4 linked regions of the Arabidopsis thaliana genome follow. The protein of the gene in region 1 purifies or fractionates together with the protein of each later gene. This does not show direct contact. Each region holds a gene or a part of one and is shown on either strand. Other genes may lie near its edges. The genes, in order: AT1G56190, MDHAR, MDAR1 and MDAR6.

Region 1 (4,819 bases):
CGCACAGATTCGCAATGCTTAACAATCTGTACACTTGTGCAAGAAAAGTGGAAGCACATATTATACTAGTCAAATCAGATATATATGAATTTCATTAGTCCTGACCTGAGCTACGGATAACGGTGGTTCCAGAAGGACTGAGATGCTCCTGAACAGATTTTCATCATTCTCTCCACCCTCAGCCTCACCATAAACTAGCGCTTCAGCTGCAATACCAGCAAATAGTACCATGCTATACCTAAGAGAAACTGAACCAGCATTAGGTTTGTGAATGAGAGAAAACTCAGAGGGAGAGAACAACACCTTGACTAATAATCACCTATCAAATGAGCTACCGCTAAGTCGTCCCTCAGCAATCTCACTCTCCATCTTTTGATCCCAGAATTGGGTTCCAGCCTAGAGAAACACATGATAATCCATTTATGTACTCGGTTCCATATGTAGCTAAAAGAACATAGAATCACAGCACTACAAAATAGAATAGTATAACACTAGAGTGAATCTAAATAATACCTGGCCTTGAACCCCCATTTGCATGGCAACAACCGGATCCAATATCACACCACGGATTGGGCAGCCCATGAGGTATGCTGCACGACAAATAAGCTGCAATCGTTAGCCACAAAACGAGAAAGAAATTTCATAAAAATACTAATGATCACGAATGTCTTACCAACAAGAAGATGACCAGCTTCGTGAACTACGATTCTACGCTTATGTGGAGGCCAGTAGCATGATACTTGGGCTAAGCAGGTACCACCAAGAAAAACGGAATCCAAATAAGCTAGACCCAAAATGACAGCAAGGTTTGGCCGCACATCAATCTCCTGTGAAAGAAGATAGGAGACTCCACCCAGCAAAGCAGCCAGAGCAATGCTAGAACCACCAGAAAGTCCCCACTTCTTCGGTGAAAGTTTAGTCACTAACCAATATAAACAGTAAAATAAGTTTCCATCGCCACACACTGAGTAATCAAAGATGACTGAAGAGAGAAATTTGAGCTACACACCTTCCAAGCCAGTTGCAGACTTCAGGACAGTAGGTGTTACCTCTCTTGTTCCTTCCAAAACTGCATCACAGTGATACAGAAGCAAGAAACTTATGAAACGATACAAATTAATCAGTTCAAATGCTCGCACACATAGCTAAACATTACTTTTGTACATCTATCTAAACAGAAGTTGATTTTGAAGGCGCAAAGAAGAGAAAACAGAGTACCAATACTGGTGAATTTGCCGAAGTTGGCCAAAAGACCTCTCTCCTTAAGAAACCTAAACGCACTTCCAACAAGTCTCATATCATCTGCATTCAAACACGCATCTAAAACTTGCCAATCCCTCTCCAATTCAAGAGCTCCCAAGCCGCTTAACTTAGCCGTGACAATAGATTCAACCGAATCACGCTGTTCATCATTTTCAATAGATTTGAGGAATCTAAGAGCCCCGGCGAGATCTTTTCTCTTCACAGCATCTTCGTACTCCCGCCATTCCCTGAGTGCGCTCGGCCTCCGCAACTCATGCTTCCGGACGCTACCAAAGACTAGAGACTGTACGCGTGGAACAAGGAAGCCAATTTGGCGAGAAAAAGAAGGCGAAAGAGATCTGAGACATGGAGGAGACGACGGAGATAAAGCCATTAGAGGTGCTTCTCGCCGGGATTTCCAAAATAAAATAAACGACGTTTATATTCGAAAGGACAGAAATTCATTGGGCCGAGTAAAGCCCATTTAGCTATTTAAATATTGCAAATGAGTTATTTAACTTCATTATATTTATTTTTAGAGTTGTCTTTTCCATATATGGAAGTAAACTTTTCGATCAAAAGACATGATCTTTGTGAATGTGGGCAACGATTGTAAGCAGAGGGAAGGCGAAGAATTATGATAACCTCTCATCAACGATAAGACAAAATCCATAAACTAGTAATATCATCCAATCCTCTCACTTCTTCCTTATTCCCTCACTTTCACTCTCACTATCTGTTGACTTCACATGGCTTCCACCGCCGCAACTGCAGCTCTTTCGATCATCAAATCCACCGGTGGCGCCGCCGTTACACGCTCCTCCCGCGCCTCCTTTGGACACATTCCCTCCACATCTGTCTCCGCACGTCGCCTTGGCTTCTCCGCCGTCGTTGACTCTCGTTTCTCGGTCCACGTGGCGTCCAAGGTCCACTCCGTGCGCGGAAAGGGCGCCAGGGGAGTGATTACGATGGCGAAGAAGAGTGTTGGAGATCTGAATTCTGTAGATTTGAAGGGGAAGAAGGTGTTTGTTAGAGCTGATCTCAATGTACCTCTCGATGACAACCAGAATATCACTGACGACACTAGAATCAGAGCCGCCATTCCCACCATCAAGTTTTTGATTGAGAATGGTGCTAAGGTCATCCTCTCCACTCATTTGGTATGGTTCACAGTTTACCCATCTCTCTAATCAACTCAAATCCACACAAAAGTCTTTACATTTTCATCTCTAATTTTCAGGGAAGGCCAAAGGGTGTCACTCCAAAGTTCAGCTTGGCTCCTCTTGTTCCCAGATTATCAGAGCTCCTTGGTATTGAGGTACTACCCTGATTTTCAACGGATCTGAATCTGTCATCTTGTTGTGGAAATCTCTTGAGGTTTTTGGGGTGTGAAATGTGCAGGTCGTGAAAGCTGATGATTGTATTGGTCCAGAAGTGGAAACCTTGGTGGCTTCCCTTCCTGAAGGTGGAGTTTTGCTTCTTGAGAACGTGAGGTTTTACAAGGAGGAAGAGAAGAACGAACCTGATTTTGCTAAGAAGCTTGCTTCTCTAGCTGACCTTTATGTCAACGATGCGTTCGGGACTGCTCACAGAGCCCATGCTTCAACAGAGGGAGTCACTAAGTTCTTGAAGCCATCAGTTGCTGGTTTCCTTTTGCAAAAGGTGACATTTTGATACAAGATTCTTTCTTAAATTGATTATTGAGGAATTTAGAAGCACCACAAGTGCCGCCACTATATCCTTGATCATGAAATAATTGATTGATTGCTTGTTCATCTTTGTCTTTCCATGTAAGAGGTCTAAACTCAAGGTTCAATAGGTTTCTCAACTGCAATTTGGAGGAGTCCATTGACTTGAATTGAGTTATGAGTTTGAATTGAATCACATTTGGTTATCTTATATATTTCGCAGGAGTTGGACTACCTTGTTGGTGCGGTTTCAAACCCAAAGAGACCATTTGCTGCCATTGTGGGAGGTTCCAAGGTCTCATCTAAGATTGGAGTTATCGAATCGCTTCTTGAGAAATGTGACATCCTTCTGCTTGGTGGTGGAATGATCTTTACATTCTACAAGGCGCAAGGTCTTTCCGTTGGCTCCTCCCTTGTTGAAGAAGACAAGCTTGAATTGGCTACAACACTCCTTGCCAAGGCTAAGGCCAGAGGAGTCTCTCTGTTGTTACCAACAGATGTTGTGATTGCTGACAAGTTCGCTCCTGATGCCAACAGCAAGGTTCGTCTCCAATAACTATTGCTAAAAGCTTGGCATTCTTGGTTGACAGAAAGATTGAAAAATGGTTTTGTTTTTTAAGACTGGATGTGTTGAGGGTACTGAGTGTAATGTGAATGTTGTAGATTGTGCCAGCATCAGCCATTCCTGATGGGTGGATGGGATTGGACATCGGTCCAGACTCGGTGAAAACATTCAACGAAGCTCTGGATACCACGCAGACAGTCATTTGGAATGGACCAATGGGAGTTTTCGAGTTTGAAAAGTTTGCAAAAGGAACTGAGGTGCATATAATTCTCTGACTCTTATATACTGTTAGTTGACTCTTTGTTGGAACTAATATGTAGCATGGTTGAATGGCGCAGGCGGTAGCGAATAAACTAGCAGAGCTAAGCAAAAAGGGAGTGACAACGATAATAGGAGGAGGAGACTCGGTGGCAGCAGTGGAGAAAGTGGGAGTAGCAGGAGTCATGAGTCACATCTCCACAGGTGGTGGTGCCAGTTTGGAGCTCTTGGAAGGCAAAGTGCTTCCCGGTGTCGTCGCTCTTGATGAAGCAACGCCAGTCACTGTTTAACAACATCTCTTTATTACACCTGAAGGGACCCCCCTAAATGAGTTTCTTCTTCTTATTCTGTTGTAAATCAAAGTCTTTGTTGTACCATCAAATCCATAGAGAGGAGGGACTCTTTTTGTCTCAAATAAAATCAAATACAGTGACATTCGTTATTTTGAGCAAAACATCAATCAACTGCTCGAAATCATTTTAACCTTGAGAATAGTTTCATCCTCAAAATAAATTTTCAAGAAAATACGAGGACTCGAAACGAAAAAGGATGTAAATATTCCCACGTGCCGTTTCATTATTGGCTGCAAGTTGCCAAAAGTATACATACGCGCAGGTGAAATGGATTTATCTATCTCTAAAGTTGTTCCTTCTTCTCTCCTTCGTCTCCCGTCAAGCTGCTTTAGCCATGGCTATGGCGGCGTCTATTATCCAATCTTCTCCGCTCTCCTTCAATAGCAACAACGGTACGCTTTCTTTCTCACTCTATTAGCTCGCCGTATATTTCCTTATGCTCTGGCTCTGGGTTACGTTTTTTTTTATCCCTAGGGATTTTAAAGATGAGGTATCAAAATTTGGTGTTGATTGAAACTTTTTACCGATCATTTTTTGGACCAAGAGTGTAAACCTAGCTTTTTGTTTGATATAGCAAAGCCACGGATTCATAGTTCAGGATCGCTCGGCGGAATCAAAAGCCAAAATAGAGTCTCTCCATTGAGTGCGGTTGGATTAAGCTCAGGCCTTGGAAGTAGAAGGAAATCTCTTTTGATATGTCACTCAGCCATTGT
Region 2 (5,061 bases), on another chromosome or scaffold:
CTTTTCTTTTGATAAAAGCTCTTCCCCTTTGTGGTATTGTTCTTAATTACGATAAATATCTTCAATGATTAAAACCCAATTCATTCCCCTTGTTGCTTCTTTAATCGAACTCATGAGGTGGCTTATATAAATGGTATAATTAATGTGGATTAAAATTGTACCCTTTAATTCATGTAATGTGTCATTTCCGTTTCTTCACGTAATCTCACCGTAATCTCTATATATAAGCACACAAGCAACACAATCGATCATAAACCAAAAAAAACGAGAGAGAGAGATGGGGAAGGGGGGTTGGCTTCTTAACTTTCTGAACCATGCCAAAAATCAAGAAAGTGTGGAGAATCTTGACAAAAACGGTGCCGTAAAGGCCCCAAGCAGTGGGTTTAAGATGCCGTTGCATTACCCAAGATACACAAAGGAGGATTATGAAGAGATGGAAGAGTGGAGATTGGATTTGCTTCTCTCGGAATACGGACTTCTTGCCTTCCATGACAATACTCTCCATGAGAAGCGAGCTTTTGCAATCGACACTTTTATATGGCCTCATCACCCATAATTTCATCTCCTTCATTTATCTTGTTTATATTTCTTAAGAGTAACGGAGATTGTAGAGATACAACATTGGAAGAGATGACAAAAACCGGGATATCAATCTACCGGATATATATGTCACAAAAAGATTTTAGTATATTTTTAGTAATTTGATTTCTACTATATTCTTTAGTTTTCATTAGATCTCTTTATGTTATGTTATCTATATAAGTTTGGCTTTGGATTTTGCATATATTAACCTTTCCGTTCAATAAAATATAGTTTTACCGCTTCTTATGGTATCAAAGCCTTCATCCAAAACTTACTCAAATGAGATTGACTCTCATGTTAAAACAGAGAAAAACAGAGAAAAAACAAAAGATCATTAAAGTCACTATATAAACATCATGATTCATCTCCATCTCCACCCTTAATTTCTTTACTAGTCCGTTCGTTCTCGCCACTATTGTTGTCCGTGATTGTACTTCTTCATAAGCATCACTGAGGAAGCAAATTCTAAAACAATAGTATCTTTTAACAATCATAAAGTAAAACAGTTTTTTTTTTTTTGTTCTTATATATATACTACTTATTACACATTTAAACTTTGGTTTTGAACAGTGAAAATGTTGCTTGCAATTTTTTTAACTTTGTAGAAATCAGGCAAGTTCTTAAGTTGACAAATGACATATACTAGTAATTTTCACGAACGTTATCCCACTAAAGTAGTCATACCCAAAACAAAATTGTTTAAATAAAAGTAACTTAATTATATCATTGAGATTCGAGTGAATAATGCCAATGAAATTTAATATTCATTATCTGACACTCTGAAACTATGATTAACTACATAATTATTTAATTTAACGTTTGTACCAGCTAATAGTATACACGTTTTTATGACAAACATTTTTGAATTTTTTGAGTTAAAAAATAATAATGGTTTTCGTCGTAATAGGAGAGGACAGACAATTCCAACGTGATATGTACGTTTATCATGTTACTTAGTCAGCAGATCATTTCTTCGGATTATATAATAGCTATTTAGAAACATTAAAGGTGTGGATTATATTATAGTCAAGTCTTTCCAATATGAATATTATATCATCCACCAATACATAATTATTGTCAAATACAAGTTGAGTCAGATTAGTCAAATACAGGCAACCAAGACTCGAGATCCTCATCGTCTCTCCACTTTATATAAACCCCAAGTCAGTACTTCTCATAATATACCAAAAACGAAACTGAGAAAGAAGTTTTATTTATTAATTAATGGCGGAAGAGAAAAGCTACAAGTACGTGATCATTGGAGGTGGTGTAGCCGGCGTAAGTAAATGCATTTTCAATTTTGAACTTTTCTTTTGACAACAACATATCTTTTATCAAGTTTAAATTCGATTGTAACACAACAACAACAACAACAATAACACTAATACAAACCAGTAAATTACATGTTTTGCCCAACATTTTTATCAACTCGCATTGTTCAGTTTTGTAGATGATGAGACTTTTTTTGTTGACTCTGTTTTTTTTTTGTTTTTTTTTTTGGCTTAAGAATCATTGTTCAGTTTGTGTTCATTCTTTGCTTACAAATCATCGCTTATTTCGCATCCGTGCTTTGCTTACGAATTCCTTTCTCTAACTCTCTGTTATTTTACTCTCACTTTTACATGTAAATCCCTTTATGCTTATTAAGTTATTATACACAAGAAATTGTTTATGATTTTCTTCTATTAAATGTTATTCATGTAACGAATACGCATCTCTCTGAATTGACTTTTTTTTTTTTTTTTTTTTGGGCATTTCGGAATCACAGGGTTACGCGGCGAGAGAGTTTAGTAATCAGGGCCTGAAGCCTGGTGAACTCGCAATCATTTCCAAGGAACCAGTACGTTTTTTCACTCTTATGACTTATGAGCGTTTGCATGTTACAATTTGGTGTTTTGCTTTTCCAAATAATAATACCACTACTTTTTTTGTTTGCAAACGTCAATTGAAAACACAAATACAAGCGCAAACTCTGGTTGCATTTGCATTTGCGTCTCAAGTTTATGAAAACTATTTTTAGAAAGTCGAAATAATTAAAGCCATCCTTAATATTTGATTGTCTAGTCTGAAAATTGATGTTGAAGTCCATAACCATGTTTTTTTTGTGTGTGTGTCAATAGGTGCCTCCTTTTGAGCGTCCTGAACTAACCAAGGTATATATTGACCTCGAAGGTAAACCTTTTAACTCTAAAACATCTCTGTCAATGGATATATTTTAATTGCTATCGGATTTTGGTTAACTTTGATCATCATTACAGTCAATCCGACCCTTGCAAATATCTATGTTTGTGCTGGAACTGGAGAAGCGAAGCAGTACCCTAACTGGTACAAAGAGAAAGGTAATGTTTTGTTTATGTCTTCTCCGAGAAATCTCTGTGATTTCACTTGCAATATATTTGGTGATCTGAGATATTCAAATTTTACAGGGATTGATCTAATTGTGGGCACAGAGATAGTCAAAGCAGATCTTGCTTCAAAGACACTTGTTAGTGATGATGGCAAAATTTACAAGTACCAAACTTTGCTAATTGCAACCGGTTCTACTGTGAGTAAAATACTTATGATCTCTTCCTCTCTCTTTCTGTTCTTTGTTCTTAGTTCATCTCGAGAAACTCTAATATTTTTTGCAGAACATAAGATTGTCAGAAATTGGCGTCCAAGAAGCAGATGTTAAGAATATATTCTACCTAAGAGAAATCGAGGATAGTGATGAGCTTGCCTTGGCTATGGAACTATATGTGCAAAGGGGAAAGGCCGTCATCATTGGCGGCGGTTTCTTAGGGCTTGAGATAAGTTCTGCTCTAAGGGCTAATAATCATGAAGTGACCATGGTTTTTCCAGAACCTTGGCTTGGTAAGTTGATACTTAACAAAAAACATTTTAGCTAAATAATTACACTGTATTCGTAACAGATTTTCCTCTGTTTTATCGTTGTATAGTACACCGGTTTTTCACCGCTGAGATAGCTTCATTCTATGAGAGTTACTATGCCAACAAGGGAATCAAAATCATCAAGGGAACTGTAGCAACTGGATTTAGCACCAACTCAGATGGAGAGGTCACTGAGGTGAAACTAGAGGATGGAAGAACCCTAGAAGCTAACATAGTTGTCGCTGGTGTCGGTGCTAGACCGGCCACCTCACTCTTCAAAGGCCAACTTGAAGAGGAGAAGGGTGGAATAAAGGTTTATGATTTACCCTACCGGCGAAAAACAGAGCTCTTGTCAATTACCATAATTAGTGATTAATGATTATTCGTTTTGATTGTAGACTGATGGGTTCTTCAAAACAAGTGTGCCTGATGTATACGCACTTGGAGATGTAGCCACATTCCCAATGAAAATGTATGGCGGGACGAGGCGTGTTGAACACGCCGACAATGCTCGCAAATCTGCTGCACAAGCAGTCAAAGTACGAGCATTTACTAGCTTGATTCTATAGTCGAATATACCAAACTCTTCTATATATACTAATGATGGTGTTTTGCAGGCAATCAAAGCGGGTGAAGAAGGGAAAACGATCCCAGATTACGATTATCTTCCCTATTTCTACTCTCGATTTTTCAAACTATCGTGGGAATTCTATGGGGAAAACGTTGGAGAATCTGTACTGTTTGGAGATAATGACCCGAAATCTCCAAAGCCAAAGTTTGGGACGTATTGGGTTAAAGATGGGAAAGTAGTAGGAGTGTTCCTAGAAGGAGGTACTCAAGAGGAACACAAGGCTATTGCTAAAGTGGCACGAGCACAACCTTCCGTTGAGAGTCTTGACGTGTTATCCGAGGAAGGCCTTTCTTTCGCCACCAAGTTCTATAGCACCTCTCTTTGAGACATTGGGTCTTGTTTAGTCACATTGATGTAATAATCTCCTTTGTCTTTGATTTCATATCGAGCCCCTATTGTATTTCGAAAAATAAATTAAATATAATAATGCATTTTGTTTGGATTATCAAAACATTGGATTTTAAGTTCTTTCATTCGTCATGATAGACATTCAGTTTTGGATGCACATGAACACATGGCATTGGTCATGCTTTTGATGACACTTTGAGTCAGACCAAAATTGTCACATTTTAAAAAAAAAGTCAAAACACAACTGAAACTTTAAATTTTTTGAGAATCAACTATCAATTACACACATAATTCAACGTCAATTTAATTCATAAGTAATATAACACATGTACTACCAAATCACACCCAATATTCGCTAACTTTTTTTTTTAACAACAGAATCGTGCTTCTCACGAGATGCCTTCTCGAATTATCCCATGTCACGGAAGTTGATATCATCTCAATCTTCGAAACCCTAATCTCCTGCTTTATCAAAACCCAGGAAATGCTTATCTCTCTCCAAGCCCCACCAATCTCAAACCCTCGGCAAGATCTCCACTTTCAACCCTTCCTCTGCCCACACCCTAGCCACGTAGATATTCGTCACTGTCGGGTAAAAAATCGCCAACGCTTCGATCGTCTCCTCTGTC
Region 3 (5,624 bases), on another chromosome or scaffold:
TTAATTACAAATATCTCAAATAAAAACTAAAAACCATTATTGCTTCATTAGCCACCCAAGACAAATGAATTAAAAAAATAAGAAAGAATGAACTAGAATCTAATAGAAGATGCATAGGAAAAATCAAATAGAGTCTAATGGAAAATGCATAGGAAAAATCAAATAATATACAACCGTAACCATAAGATCAAGAAACATAACTTAATGATACATGATCGAGATTAATAACAACAAAGTACTTTTGAATCTGGCAAAAAAGCCTAAATCATACAGTTGGAACGTGGTGTTAGGAAATAATAGAGACTTGATAGGTCTTTGAGAACCCTTTGAGCCTAGGATTCCTCTTTCTGCGCCTTTAATCTCTTCCCTCATGCTTTTAATCCCCATTAAATATATTGTAAACACTAAACTAACACAAAAATTAGATGTGTTACGTCCGCTTCTGATTTCTTATTTAACTTAAACCAACCATCAACATCAAAAGATTTTATTATACAAACATATGCATGCGCATATTTAAATATATCAATGGTCCTGCTAATTATTTTATTCGATTTTTAAAAATATTTTGCATCTTTTCAAGAAAAACGATTGATGGAACCCAGATTTTTTCGTTTAAGATCAATTTGAACCATCATTCAATTTTATTTTTTAAAATGTGAATTTTCATTAATAGTGTACAAAATACAAAAAGTACCCATACTTTTATATATATTAATTTAAAAAATAAATTATTTTCGCGGTGTACCGCGGATTAAACTCTATTATATATATATATATATACTTATTTTTGTATCTCAAACATTTATACCAAGTTATGATGCAATGACTGCACTAATACTATGAGCCACTAGATTAAATGTCTTTGTCGCAATATTTCATGATGTGTATATATAAAATTTAGGTATGGATGTTTATAATTATTGCGTGGACGGCGAACAAGAAACAACGGTGCACAACGACAAATGATTCGAGTTATGTATATTCTTGATAACTACTATTAAACAAAACAATATCAATAAGAACTAAGATCTGAGAAATGAGAATCCGAGGAAGATGAGATATATAGGGTAATCAAATTAGATTTGGTAAAAGAAAAAAATAAAAAGAAAGAGAACAAGCTAGAGAATAAGGCAACAAGTATAGGTTTCACATGTTTGTGTCGACAGGCCACACCCCCATAAAAGGCTTGCTTGGCTTTTTTGTCATTGTATGCATCTAATCCACTCCACCAATTTTTTCTCCTTCACTTATTAATTCGATTTTTTAGCTATACACAGTATTTTGAAATTTGAACAATTAAAAATAAAAATGAGCATTCATCCAAATGGGTTATTGTGACTGCCTATAGTCTTGGATGGGAATGTGTAAATTTTAGTTCCTTCAAAGATTGATACTTATTACGTACAGATTGTAGTAATAAACCTATTTACAAATATAATTGCTGATAAATCAAAATTTATGGTTGTTTTAGTCGAATTGTTAATCATGTGATGGTCAAATGGGTTATCATGTGGGTCGAAGGACTAAGCTTCATGTTTCTTGAATTTTGTTATTTTGGGCCTTAAGAGGTCAGGAAAAGAAGCCCAATAATCTAAAACCCATCATTTGTGGACTTTTCCACAACTTATCCAATAACGTGGCACATTTGTGACTTTTCCACCAACTATTTTTCGGGTTAATTAAAAAAGACTTAAGAATCAATCAGTCCTTTATTTCCGTCCTTAATTCTTTTTACTTTCCACATATAGCATGAACCACGACGGTTGGATAAATTCAACGGTCACAATATTGCCACGTGTAAGCTTTGTATCTACATCCTCCAATCAACGGCCAAGTCTTGGTTAAGTTTTAGCCAATTAGAGTCACTCAGCTCATATTAGCCTTTTTGCTCTTTCTTTGCTTCTCTAACAAACCAACTTCAGCGACAAGATAACAAAACGCTTTCACACGATCGGATAAAATGGCGGAGAAGAGCTTTAAGTACATCATCCTCGGCGGCGGCGTCTCTGCCGTGAGTATCTTCCTTCCTCCTTAAGTTTTTTCAGCCATTGCTTTCGATTTTCGAAGAGCTTGATTCGATTTGTGTTGCGAAATGCCACAATTCTCGTAGTTTTTTTGGCTTGGAGTTTGTTATTGTTAATCAGATAGCGATTACGATGATTATAGATTGTGATTCATAGATTTAAACGTCAGATCGGCGGCTCTGCTTCTAGTTTCTAGTATCGTTGAGATGAATTTACAATCGAAACTTGATTTTGAATCAAACAATCGTATGTTGATTGATTGTTTTTTCGACGTAAAACATGGATGTAATCTGGTTTCCTCTGCACAGAGCATCTTAAAAACTTCCGATTCAGTTCTAGTTCTTTTGTTGTTGTTAAGTGTGAGAAAAGTGTATCTCTGCAAAATCACTTGCAGATGGTTAATAGTAAGCATAGTATCATCAGGATCCTCTTTAGTTTATACTAGCTCAGATTAATCGTATAGTCACAGATGTTAATGAAGAAAATTCCAAAGAAATAACTAAATACAGAAGCAAATTCAACTCTTAACCTTTGTTGTATCCTTTTCTCCATTTTTGTGTGTAGGGATACGCAGCTAAGGAGTTTGCCAATCAAGGGGTTCAACCAGGAGAATTGGCTGTTATCTCGAAAGAGGCGGTAAGCTTCCTCTCGATTTGGAAAACTGTGATTATGCAGTGTGTCTTGTAACCTATGATATGATGATCCTTATGTGGACTTGTCTTCTCTAATCCTCACACCTTATTTACTCTATATGGTGGCTTAGGTGGCTCCATATGAACGCCCTGCACTTAGCAAGGGGTATTTGTTTCCTGAAGGTAAGACAATTTTCTACTTTACTTTGCTAACTACAACGTTTAATTTTGATTTGCTGAAACTTGGCTTTGGTTTATGCTTTTTATGATAATCTTTTTTTGTTGCAGGGGCTGCTAGACTTCCAGGTTTCCATTGCTGTGTTGGTAGTGGTGGAGAAAAACTGCTTCCTGAATCCTACAAGCAGAAAGGTAATGAACTGTCTGCAACATCACCAATATCAATGCCCTGCTCATCTGTGTAGTCCCACTGATCTATTATAACATTACATTACTCTCTATACAAGCTTAATTACTTATGTTATTGGAACTAAATCGTGCTATGATTTTTTTGTTATCCATTGTGTTTGTAGGAATTGAGTTGATACTAAGCACAGAAATAGTGAAAGCTGATCTCTCTGCCAAGAGTCTTGTCAGTGCAACTGGGGATGTCTTCAAGTATCAGACGCTCATAATTGCAACTGGTTCTACTGTAAAGACTGATATACTTGCATTTCTCACATCAGAATGCTTCTTATGAATTCTATTACAAGAAGAAAGTAACTCTTTACCTTCCTTTGCAGGTTCTCAGATTGACTGATTTTGGAGTAAAAGGTGCAGACTCTAAGAATATCCTCTATCTGAGAGAGATTGATGATGCCGACAAATTGGTTGAAGCAATTAAAGCTAAGAAAGGTGGAAAGGCTGTAGTTGTTGGCGGAGGTTACATTGGTCTTGAGCTTAGTGCAGTTTTAAGGATCAACAATTTAGATGTCACTATGGTTTTCCCTGAACCTTGGTGCAGTAAGTTGACTAGTATCCTTTTGCTATTCATGTAATATATGACATTGTTACACGTAATGAAAACAAAATGTTGACGCAGTGCCTAGGCTTTTCACCGCCGATATTGCTGCTTTCTATGAGACTTACTATACAAACAAGGGAGTGAAGATCATTAAAGGAACAGTGGCATCTGGGTTCACAGCTCAGCCAAATGGAGAGGTAATCAAAGAAACATTAGCTAATAGAGTGGGCAATCCAATTTAAGTTTTGGTTTGATTTTATAGAAACTAAAGTCTAAAACCAAATTACAATGTTATGTTTAGGTTTGGTTTCGTTTGACGAACTCGATTAATTAGCTTTTCCAAATGGTCTCGTTGCAAATGTCTTACTTGTATTATATAATCCTCCAGGTGAAGGAAGTACAACTCAAGGATGGGAGGACATTGGAAGCCGACATTGTGATAGTTGGGGTTGGTGCAAAACCATTGACATCCTTATTCAAGGGACAGGTCGAGGAAGATAAAGGTGGAATTAAGGTATTTATCTGCTGCCTGTGCGTCTCTTCTTCTTCTTATCCCGTACCATTCTGATTTGGATCTTTTAAATTGACTGCTTAACTGTTTCACACAGACCGATGCATTCTTCAAAACAAGTGTTCCAGATGTTTACGCTGTTGGTGACGTTGCTACTTTCCCTTTGAAAATGTACGGAGACGTGAGAAGGGTCGAGCATGTTGACCATTCCCGCAAATCAGCAGAGCAAGCTGTTAAGGTAAATAATGCTTACAATATGGCTGATATCGCTACACCAAAACCCTATTAATCCATACCATAAAAAATGCAACGCAAACTCTTGAGGCCTAAATCTTATAGATTAACATACAGTTGTATATATCTGATGAAGCGTTTATATATGTGATACATTGTGGCAGGCGATCAAAGCGGCTGAGGGAGGCGCAGCGGTGGAGGAATACGACTATCTTCCATTCTTCTACTCTCGCTCCTTTGATCTCTCATGGCAGTTCTACGGAGACAACGTAGGAGACTCTGTGTTATTTGGAGACAGCAATCCATCAAACCCAAAACCAAGATTTGGAGCATATTGGGTTCAAGGTGGTAAAGTGGTTGGAGCATTCATGGAGGGAGGTAGTGGTGATGAGAACAAAGCCTTGGCTAAAGTCGCCAAAGCTCGACCTTCTGCAGAGAGTCTCGACGAGCTCGTGAAACAAGGAATTTCCTTCGCAGCTAAGATCTGAGTGAAACACAACCACCAAAACAAACTCACGTTTTCTCTTCTATGTTAAAATAAAAACTTGTTTAGCTATAATAAGTTGTGTGTTTGTATTGTCTCTCTAAACTCCATGAGAAGAGTCTACGGCAGAGGAAACCCTGAACCACATTCACATTTTAGATCATGTGTTTGGTTTTCTGTGTTTCAGTATCTGTCTTGGTTTCTTAATGTGAACAACTCCAAAACCACATTTACTGTAATCTCAAATGAAGGGAGTAATTTACAATATGAAAGCAAATGGGCCTTGAAATAGTAATTCGTAGACTCTAATGGGCATTGGACGACCCTTGAAATGTCAATTCGATCTTTAATTGGACATCTCTCATTGTTCCATGTCCTCGGCTCGACTAGGTTTTCTTAGAATTAGTTTTGATATATACACAAACCGAAGAAAACTTGAAAATTTTGAGTTAGAAATTCATAAATTTAACATGATATTAGTCCCTTTTGCTAGTGATAATCAAATTTATTTCCAGTCGTAGAGTGGAATTCAGTTAAATCTACTCATTCTAAATATATTAGTTAGGAATAATGTTATTTATAATGTGGGATTGTGAAAGCAAATATTGATTAATGTGAATGAAAAGATGAAATACTATGAGCGTCAGATTCGCTTTTTGGATTTTCTCTTTTTGTTGGTTAAAGATTGAACAAAAACTTAGCAAAAATTGAACTGCATTTAAGTTATTTTCTTTGTTCGATTTTGTTAGTAATTCTTTTGGTTTAGTTTTAAATA
Region 4 (6,243 bases), 2.7 Mb from region 1:
CTTTTTTTTTATTAGTCATATACCAATTTCAAATTTGTTATTAGTGAAAGAGTCATTCAATGCCTTTTTCTGTTATTGGATTTGGCATCAATTGTTTTTTTTAGTTTTACCAACATTACACGTTTGTTTGCATTTTGCAATATTTCACCCATTAAAAACCGAGGGTGTTGTTTTTGCAAAACAATGGTCTCTTGTGTTAATCCAAGAATGATGTCATATTAAAATATAGATCGAGTTAGAGAAGAGTTTATAACAGTTTTGACATCTTGGCCGAATGATTTCCCCTATCAATGATGAACCTTGGCTATCATAGATATTTACCAACCACAAGGTTCTGCAGAATCACGATTTTTTTAGTTTGTTATTCCCACCATTCCGCAAATTTATACGATTTTGCAACATTCATAACCAATCATAAAAGCCCAACCTATCATAGATTCATAACCACTTTGACACTTTCTCAATTGTAGAACTCATAGGCAGTAAATAAATTTCTATGGCGTATGAAACGCGTTTAGGCTACAAAAACCTTTTTACATGTCGCAATCAATCCCACAAGACTCTATTACGTGCCGCAAAACAAATCCTTGCGTGAATTATAACAAAGTCTTCATTATTGTTTATACAAATTTCGTTTATGGTTTACAGTCGATAAAAGAAATCTAAATAAATAAATATTTTAATGATCCACGAAACAACCCATAGATCATGAGAAAACGATCTTTATCTATCTCAGTGACTAACATAGATTTTATTAGAAACAAAGCTCTCTAATGAGCAAAATATGATTATCCCAAAAAGAGGTTATAAATTATTCGAGGAGATTATTGACAACAGTGCTCTCTATAGATCATTTTTCCAATGGAAAGATGAATAACTCTCACCGGGAATAAAAGATGTTGATTTCTCTGAACCCAAAAGCTATTAAAAAAACTCCATGAAGTTTCCTTCTCTAACTCTGTAGAGCGGCTTGAGCAATCTCGAGAGCTTCTTCGACTGAAGATGCGCTTGCGAGTTTAGCCTTATCGACAAGTGGTTGGCTTCTTGCTAGCTTTGGTAGAAGCTGGAACTCCTGTTTCAAGAGATATACATAACAATGGAAGCAATTAAAATCCATATAGTTAACATATTTACATGAAAACAAAACCCATGCTGATGTAATTGCTATTGTCAAGTTTCAATGACCGTTCCAAAATATTCTAATTTTAGTCTCGCAGATCTAAAGAAGCATGATGCTCTAAAGATTGGCTAATTCAGAATGTTAACGAGGGAGATGCTAAGAAAGACTCTTACCTCAGGCGATCCGCTTTCTACTAGAACACCTTTCAACCTGCCTGTGTTACGATAATTACTCATCAAAGTTAGTTAATTTGCTAAGCTGTGTATTTGTGCAAGGTTAACTGAAGTGAGAAAAGGCTGAAGGAATTATTTACCAGATTCAATCCAGAAGGTAGCGATTTTCGGGTCAAAGTTCCCAACCTCCACTGTTTCTCCCACTGGCCAGTATGAATCAGTGGTTTAGCTACAGTGGAAATATTGTTTGAGTAATTGGATGGCGTCATATTTAGGTCAAATAGATTTACCATTATCTCCGAAAAACTGCCACCACACTTTTCTTGGGCTTCCTTCATACTCGAATACTCTTGAGTAGAAATATGGAAGATAATCGTACCTGCAAATATTGAGCAAGACAAGAACTAATAGGTGAATATCCGTTAAGGGATACAGGCAAAGTCTACAGATCTTTCCAGGGAAGAAGCTTACGTGTCAGTGTGTGCCGTGAGTAGTGATTTCACACAGTGTTGTGCAGAGCGGCGGGCGTGATCAACATGTTCAACTCGAGTCATCCTATCATATATCTGGTCATCAGACAATAAGATGATGAGTTTGCACTTCACGAGATAATTGATGGCTTAACATATATTATCTAGCAGCAAAGTACCTTCAAAGGGAAGGCTGCGACATCTCCAATAGCAAAAATTCCAGGGGTACTTGTCCTGAACAAGCCATCGACCTGTGGTTGAAGATGAGCTCTTATCAAACTTTTAATTGTATCAACATACTGATGTAGTTTCTTGTGAAGTTCTAACTCTGAAAACCGATTATCTTGGAAAATAAATCCGGATGTTTTGTAATAATAATACCTGAATTCCTCCAATTGATTTGTTCATGGCCAAAGTTTCAAAGGGGCCAATAGCAGGCTTAGCTCCAATTCCAATTACAACCTGTAAAGTAAGGATACACAGGTCGTACAAAAGTCAGTATTACATTGACCCTTCACAGTTTTCATTTGATCAAAGTTGTTGAATTTGCATCATTTGAGAAAGAAAAAAGTGAAGCTGAGCTACAACTATACCGTGTCTGCCTCAATTGTAGACCCATCAGCAAGCTTAACAGCTGATACACGCCCATCCGAACCTGCTTCCAAGTTATTTATGGAAGCGCCCTGTTCAACAGAAAGAGAAATTCAAGTTTGCACACTGTGTTTCTGAAATTCTTAGGTTTGCAGGAAAGCAAAGGCTTCAGTATAAGGTGTTGATCGTGTGCTGATATCTTACCTTGACAAACTTAACACCATTTTGACGGTACAGTTCTTCATATTTCTGAGCAAGCGATGGAGTGAACAATCTTTGCAAAAGCTGATCTTCAGGGAATACAATCTATTGTTCCACATGGGAAAGCCCAAAAGCAACTGTAAGTTAGTACATCTGTTCCACAATTTATCTGAACGTTTCTAGGAATTTGTTTAACTCATCGAATGATTAGAAGTATTCTTCATTTCTAGCACAATTTAAAAATTCAAGTGAAAGGGATAATAACCGTTGTATCTAGATTCCACGCAACAGCTGCAGCAGCAACCTCCATGCCGATGTAGCCACCACCAACAATGACAATTTTCTTTGCCTTTCCCTGTATCACATATTGGAAGGTTATTTTGTAGCCAGGAAATTTGGATTTTTCTGATGACGCATATTACAACATTGCATTAAGATGACAAAACTGGTAACTGGTAAAAATGCCCTTAGCTTACCAGAGATGCTATCAGTGAATCAGCATCTGCAACCTCCCGAATATAGTGAACCCCTGGCAAGTGCCCACCGATTTTATCTGGGAACCTACAATAAAAATCCAGAGCAAATATTCATAATATCAGTATACATGGTTGAAAAGGCCTAGGTTCTCTGATGTTGTTTATCAATCATTGCAAAAAAAATGCGACTTTCACTCACCTTGAGGCTGTACACCCTGTAGCGATAATTAGAGATCCATATTTTAACTGCTTCCCTGCGTCTGTGGTGAGTGTTTGCTTTTCAAAATCAGCTCCAGCCACTGGATCTTCATATATTACCTGTCCAAACAAAATGCATTAGTAAGACACAAGAGAAGACCACAAATTCACCGACGTACATTCCAAGCTGTACAGTTAATCAAACCAAAGACACTTCACTTACATTCATATATTTTAGAAAACAAAACTATGTATCAGAAGATGAATTACCTCAATTCCTTTCTCCTTATACCAATCTGGTGTTTGCCTTTCTCCACCACCTCCAACGCAAGTATGAAATCCCTGCATATACGACCACCCTCAATATAAACAGAGATCACAAAACTAAATCATACAAATCTTCATATCAGTAACAATCGTAACACTGTAAACAATCTACCGGTACTCATTCCATAATGTTCATGTAGCCAATTAAGAGCAATAGCACTAAAAGAACCACTCAAATTGATCGAATCAAAACATTAAAGTTGGCAAAGCTTACTGGTAAACGAGCTGGCTTCTTCTCTGGTGGGAACAAGTAAGCTTTTGTCAAAGCCGGTCTCTCATAAGGTGCGTAAGCCTAACAATAACAACCACAAATCCAACAATCAAACAAAGTAAAACCAATAGTGTTACTGATGAAGAAAACACTAAGGGATCGATTTGAATCACCTCTTTGGTCACAATGCATAGCCGACCATCAGCCATTCCATTTTCCACAAAAGTTCTAGCAGCATAACCAGCAGCATTTCCTCCACCAACAATCACAAACCTAACACAATCACACAATCAATCGCATAGAAATTCATCAACGCCAGAATCAAAATTGGAAGAATTATATATACGAACTCGCGATTCTCGTTAGCGAACGAAGCAGTGACGAGGCTTCTGGAAGCGATTCTAGAACCGATCGGAGAAAAACGAGCGGGAAATCGGCGAGCGAGAGACGGAGAAGACGGACACCAAAGAGATAATCCGGACTTCGTCGGCAACGTGGTTGATGCTAACGCCATGACTCTACGAACTGTAACAACAGATTAGAGAGATAAGATTTCGATCTAGGGTTTTGACAATCGAGGAAGAAGATGGTGGTGAGTGAGAGAGATAAGAAGACCTGCAGACATTAGTTTATAAGAAGAGCCAAATTCAGATTTAATTATTGAAACAAGTGTGTGAGTCTCTCTGTAGTGTTGGCTCTATAACAAAGCTAAAGGGCAATGAGAGTAGTTTGAAATTTGTGAAAAGAGAGATGATTTATTGTAAAAGATGGGTAGTGAAGAATGGAGCTGACTTGTCTTGTTGCTTTTGATTCATTTGTCTTTTGACTCCGAATTTTAATATCTTTATTGACATTTAGGCTTTCAATAGAACTTGCAAGTTAATGGAACTAAACCATTAGCAGATTACACCATTCTATTTTTAGGATGGAAAACAATTCGTCGCGGACGAAGCTTATTTTTAAGTTAAAATGGTAGTTGGTCTGTGGGGATTTTTATTTTATTTTCCTAGGACAACAATCCCTAATGCATAATGTTTTACGATACCATTGTAAGGGAGCTAGAGTTAAGAGGATTTGATTGAAGTTAGTCACTCTAGCCATAATGATTTATGTTATGTCCTTCAAGCAGATTATTTCATGGATTACATAGAGGTTGTTATGCTCTTGTAGTTTAAGAGAGTTTGATGATTTAGATTTGATACAAAAAAATTGTCAACTTTTGCAGATAAAAGATGATTTTAACTTTTAAAATCCTCCATTTGCCTTCTTTGATCTCACATTCTCACTTGTGAAAGCTTCGGAGCCGTAACTAAAGGGTTCCTTCAAAAATTTAAATTGTTTTTGGATATTATGCATTAATTTAACAAAATGAAAAATGAAAAATATAAGGAGAAGGGAAAACATATGACATGGGCCTGTCCAGAGTTCTAAAAGCCCAACCATAAATAGAAAAACAACAATAGACGAAACCAAGAAAATAAAATATCCTATTAGCCCCCAAAGAATTACAAAACTTCGAAATTGATTCCCAATAATTCAAAACTTTTACACAACTGGCGCCGAAACTTTCCCGGCTTGCTCCAACACCTCGAGAATCTCCGCACGACTCCTCACGATCCTATGAAAAACTTCTCTGATCTGTTGCTGTAACGGCACAAGCTCCTCCTCCATTCTCCTGCATATCTCCGCCATCTCCGCCACTTGCACCGCCGCAGATTCAGCAGCATCTTTCTCCGCCGGATAATGAAATCCATCTGCGAATTCCATCAACGAGTGACCTAGCTTCTCCATCCTCGTCATCTCCTCCATCAATCCAGCAGATCCTTTCTTCTCTTTCTTCTTCCACTCATCTCCGATTTTCTCATGGATTCCGATCAAACTCTGAGCCCAATTCAAATGTTTCGGCGGCACTGGTAAATGATTCGCTAATCCTGATCTCTCCTGACACGGAACCGCCGCCGTTAGCACCCACATTACGAAAACCATCACCGTACTCATTATAAACATTGGTTGAGGCAATCCCGCCGCTTCGTTACCACGTGGCGGCGTAAGATTCGCTGTCATTGCGTGGATCTGCTTCGCCGCCGACCAATTTCTCCCAACCGCCCACGACGACGATTTGAGCTGACCAATCGTTGCTCCTCCTTTACTCGCCGCCGATGATCCACCGCTTCGACGACCAAACGACCACGATCTCTCCGTCGTCTTATTCCCTCCGCCGCCGCCACCACCTCCGCCGCTAACATTCTCTTTATCCTCGAGACTCAACGCGACGACGAGATTCGCCAACGCGCGTTTAGCTCTCCTCACGTTACCGTCACCTAACGGACGTTGCTCCAAAGCCGTCACAGCAATCTCAGCTAAACGCTGGTAATGTCTAACGGAATCGATACCGTTAACAACGGCGGTACAAATGTCAAGCGCTTTAATCGACCGGTCTAACATTTCAGGAACTAACCGGTCAAAAGGCGGCTTA

What was found.
Region 2: the proteins of AT1G56190 (region 1) and MDHAR fractionate together in Arabidopsis thaliana (co-fractionation; one large-scale study listed by BioGRID). This does not show direct contact.
Region 3: the proteins of AT1G56190 (region 1) and MDAR1 fractionate together in Arabidopsis thaliana (co-fractionation; one large-scale study listed by BioGRID). This does not show direct contact.
Region 4: the proteins of AT1G56190 (region 1) and MDAR6 fractionate together in Arabidopsis thaliana (co-fractionation; one large-scale study listed by BioGRID). This does not show direct contact.

Annotation. Positions count from the first base shown.
Region 1 is NC_003070.9:21,026,412-21,031,230, forward strand, and holds AT1G56190 (Phosphoglycerate kinase family protein), read left to right. Parts: upstream 1-1,725; 5' UTR 1,726-1,991; coding exon 1,992-2,402; intron 2,403-2,482; coding exon 2,483-2,560; intron 2,561-2,643; coding exon 2,644-2,904; intron 2,905-3,153; coding exon 3,154-3,471; intron 3,472-3,593; coding exon 3,594-3,752; intron 3,753-3,833; coding exon 3,834-4,043; 3' UTR 4,044-4,273; downstream 4,274-4,819. Other genes in the region: AT1G56180 (ATP-dependent zinc metalloprotease), read right to left, coding at 106-238, 320-396, 514-590, 674-922, 1,010-1,069, 1,219-1,636; EMB1303 (embryo defective 1303), read left to right, coding at 4,441-4,498, 4,681-4,817.
Region 2 is NC_003074.8:3,055,849-3,060,909, reverse strand, and holds MDHAR (monodehydroascorbate reductase), read left to right. Parts: upstream 1-1,665; 5' UTR 1,666-1,806; coding exon 1,807-1,860; intron 1,861-2,350; coding exon 2,351-2,422; intron 2,423-2,702; coding exon 2,703-2,754; intron 2,755-2,840; coding exon 2,841-2,921; intron 2,922-3,008; coding exon 3,009-3,127; intron 3,128-3,212; coding exon 3,213-3,435; intron 3,436-3,521; coding exon 3,522-3,766; intron 3,767-3,851; coding exon 3,852-3,992; intron 3,993-4,070; coding exon 4,071-4,409; 3' UTR 4,410-4,535; downstream 4,536-5,061. Other genes in the region: AT3G09950 (uncharacterized protein), read left to right, coding at 278-556. UniProt on the Arabidopsis thaliana protein: Catalyzes the conversion of monodehydroascorbate to ascorbate, oxidizing NADH in the process. Required for producing sufficient ascorbate to maintain the interaction between Piriformospora indica and Arabidopsis in a mutualistic state.
Region 3 is NC_003074.8:19,600,706-19,606,329, reverse strand, and holds MDAR1 (monodehydroascorbate reductase 1), read left to right. Parts: upstream 1-1,875; 5' UTR 1,876-1,963; coding exon 1,964-2,014; intron 2,015-2,335; coding exon 2,336-2,431; intron 2,432-2,591; coding exon 2,592-2,663; intron 2,664-2,790; coding exon 2,791-2,842; intron 2,843-2,947; coding exon 2,948-3,028; intron 3,029-3,189; coding exon 3,190-3,308; intron 3,309-3,399; coding exon 3,400-3,619; intron 3,620-3,698; coding exon 3,699-3,817; intron 3,818-4,008; coding exon 4,009-4,134; intron 4,135-4,228; coding exon 4,229-4,369; intron 4,370-4,529; coding exon 4,530-4,853; 3' UTR 4,854-5,117; downstream 5,118-5,624. UniProt on the Arabidopsis thaliana protein: Catalyzes the conversion of monodehydroascorbate to ascorbate, oxidizing NADH in the process.
Region 4 is NC_003070.9:23,728,244-23,734,486, reverse strand, and holds MDAR6 (monodehydroascorbate reductase 6), read right to left. Parts: upstream 4,613-6,243; 5' UTR 4,393-4,612; coding exon 4,383-4,392; exon of another isoform or gene 4,293-4,382; coding exon 4,118-4,292; intron 4,041-4,117; coding exon 3,941-4,040; intron 3,849-3,940; coding exon 3,771-3,848; intron 3,572-3,770; coding exon 3,500-3,571; intron 3,350-3,499; coding exon 3,231-3,349; intron 3,117-3,230; coding exon 3,032-3,116; intron 2,911-3,031; coding exon 2,821-2,910; intron 2,661-2,820; coding exon 2,559-2,660; intron 2,447-2,558; coding exon 2,357-2,446; intron 2,226-2,356; coding exon 2,145-2,225; intron 2,015-2,144; coding exon 1,943-2,014; intron 1,860-1,942; coding exon 1,765-1,859; intron 1,673-1,764; coding exon 1,584-1,672; coding exon of another isoform or gene 1,570-1,583; exon of another isoform or gene 1,497-1,569; coding exon 1,434-1,496; intron 1,335-1,433; coding exon 1,294-1,334; intron 1,073-1,293; coding exon 953-1,072; 3' UTR 513-952; downstream 1-512. Other genes in the region: ROH1 (uncharacterized protein), read right to left, coding at 5,313-6,243. UniProt on the Arabidopsis thaliana protein: Catalyzes the conversion of monodehydroascorbate (MDA) to ascorbate, oxidizing NADH in the process.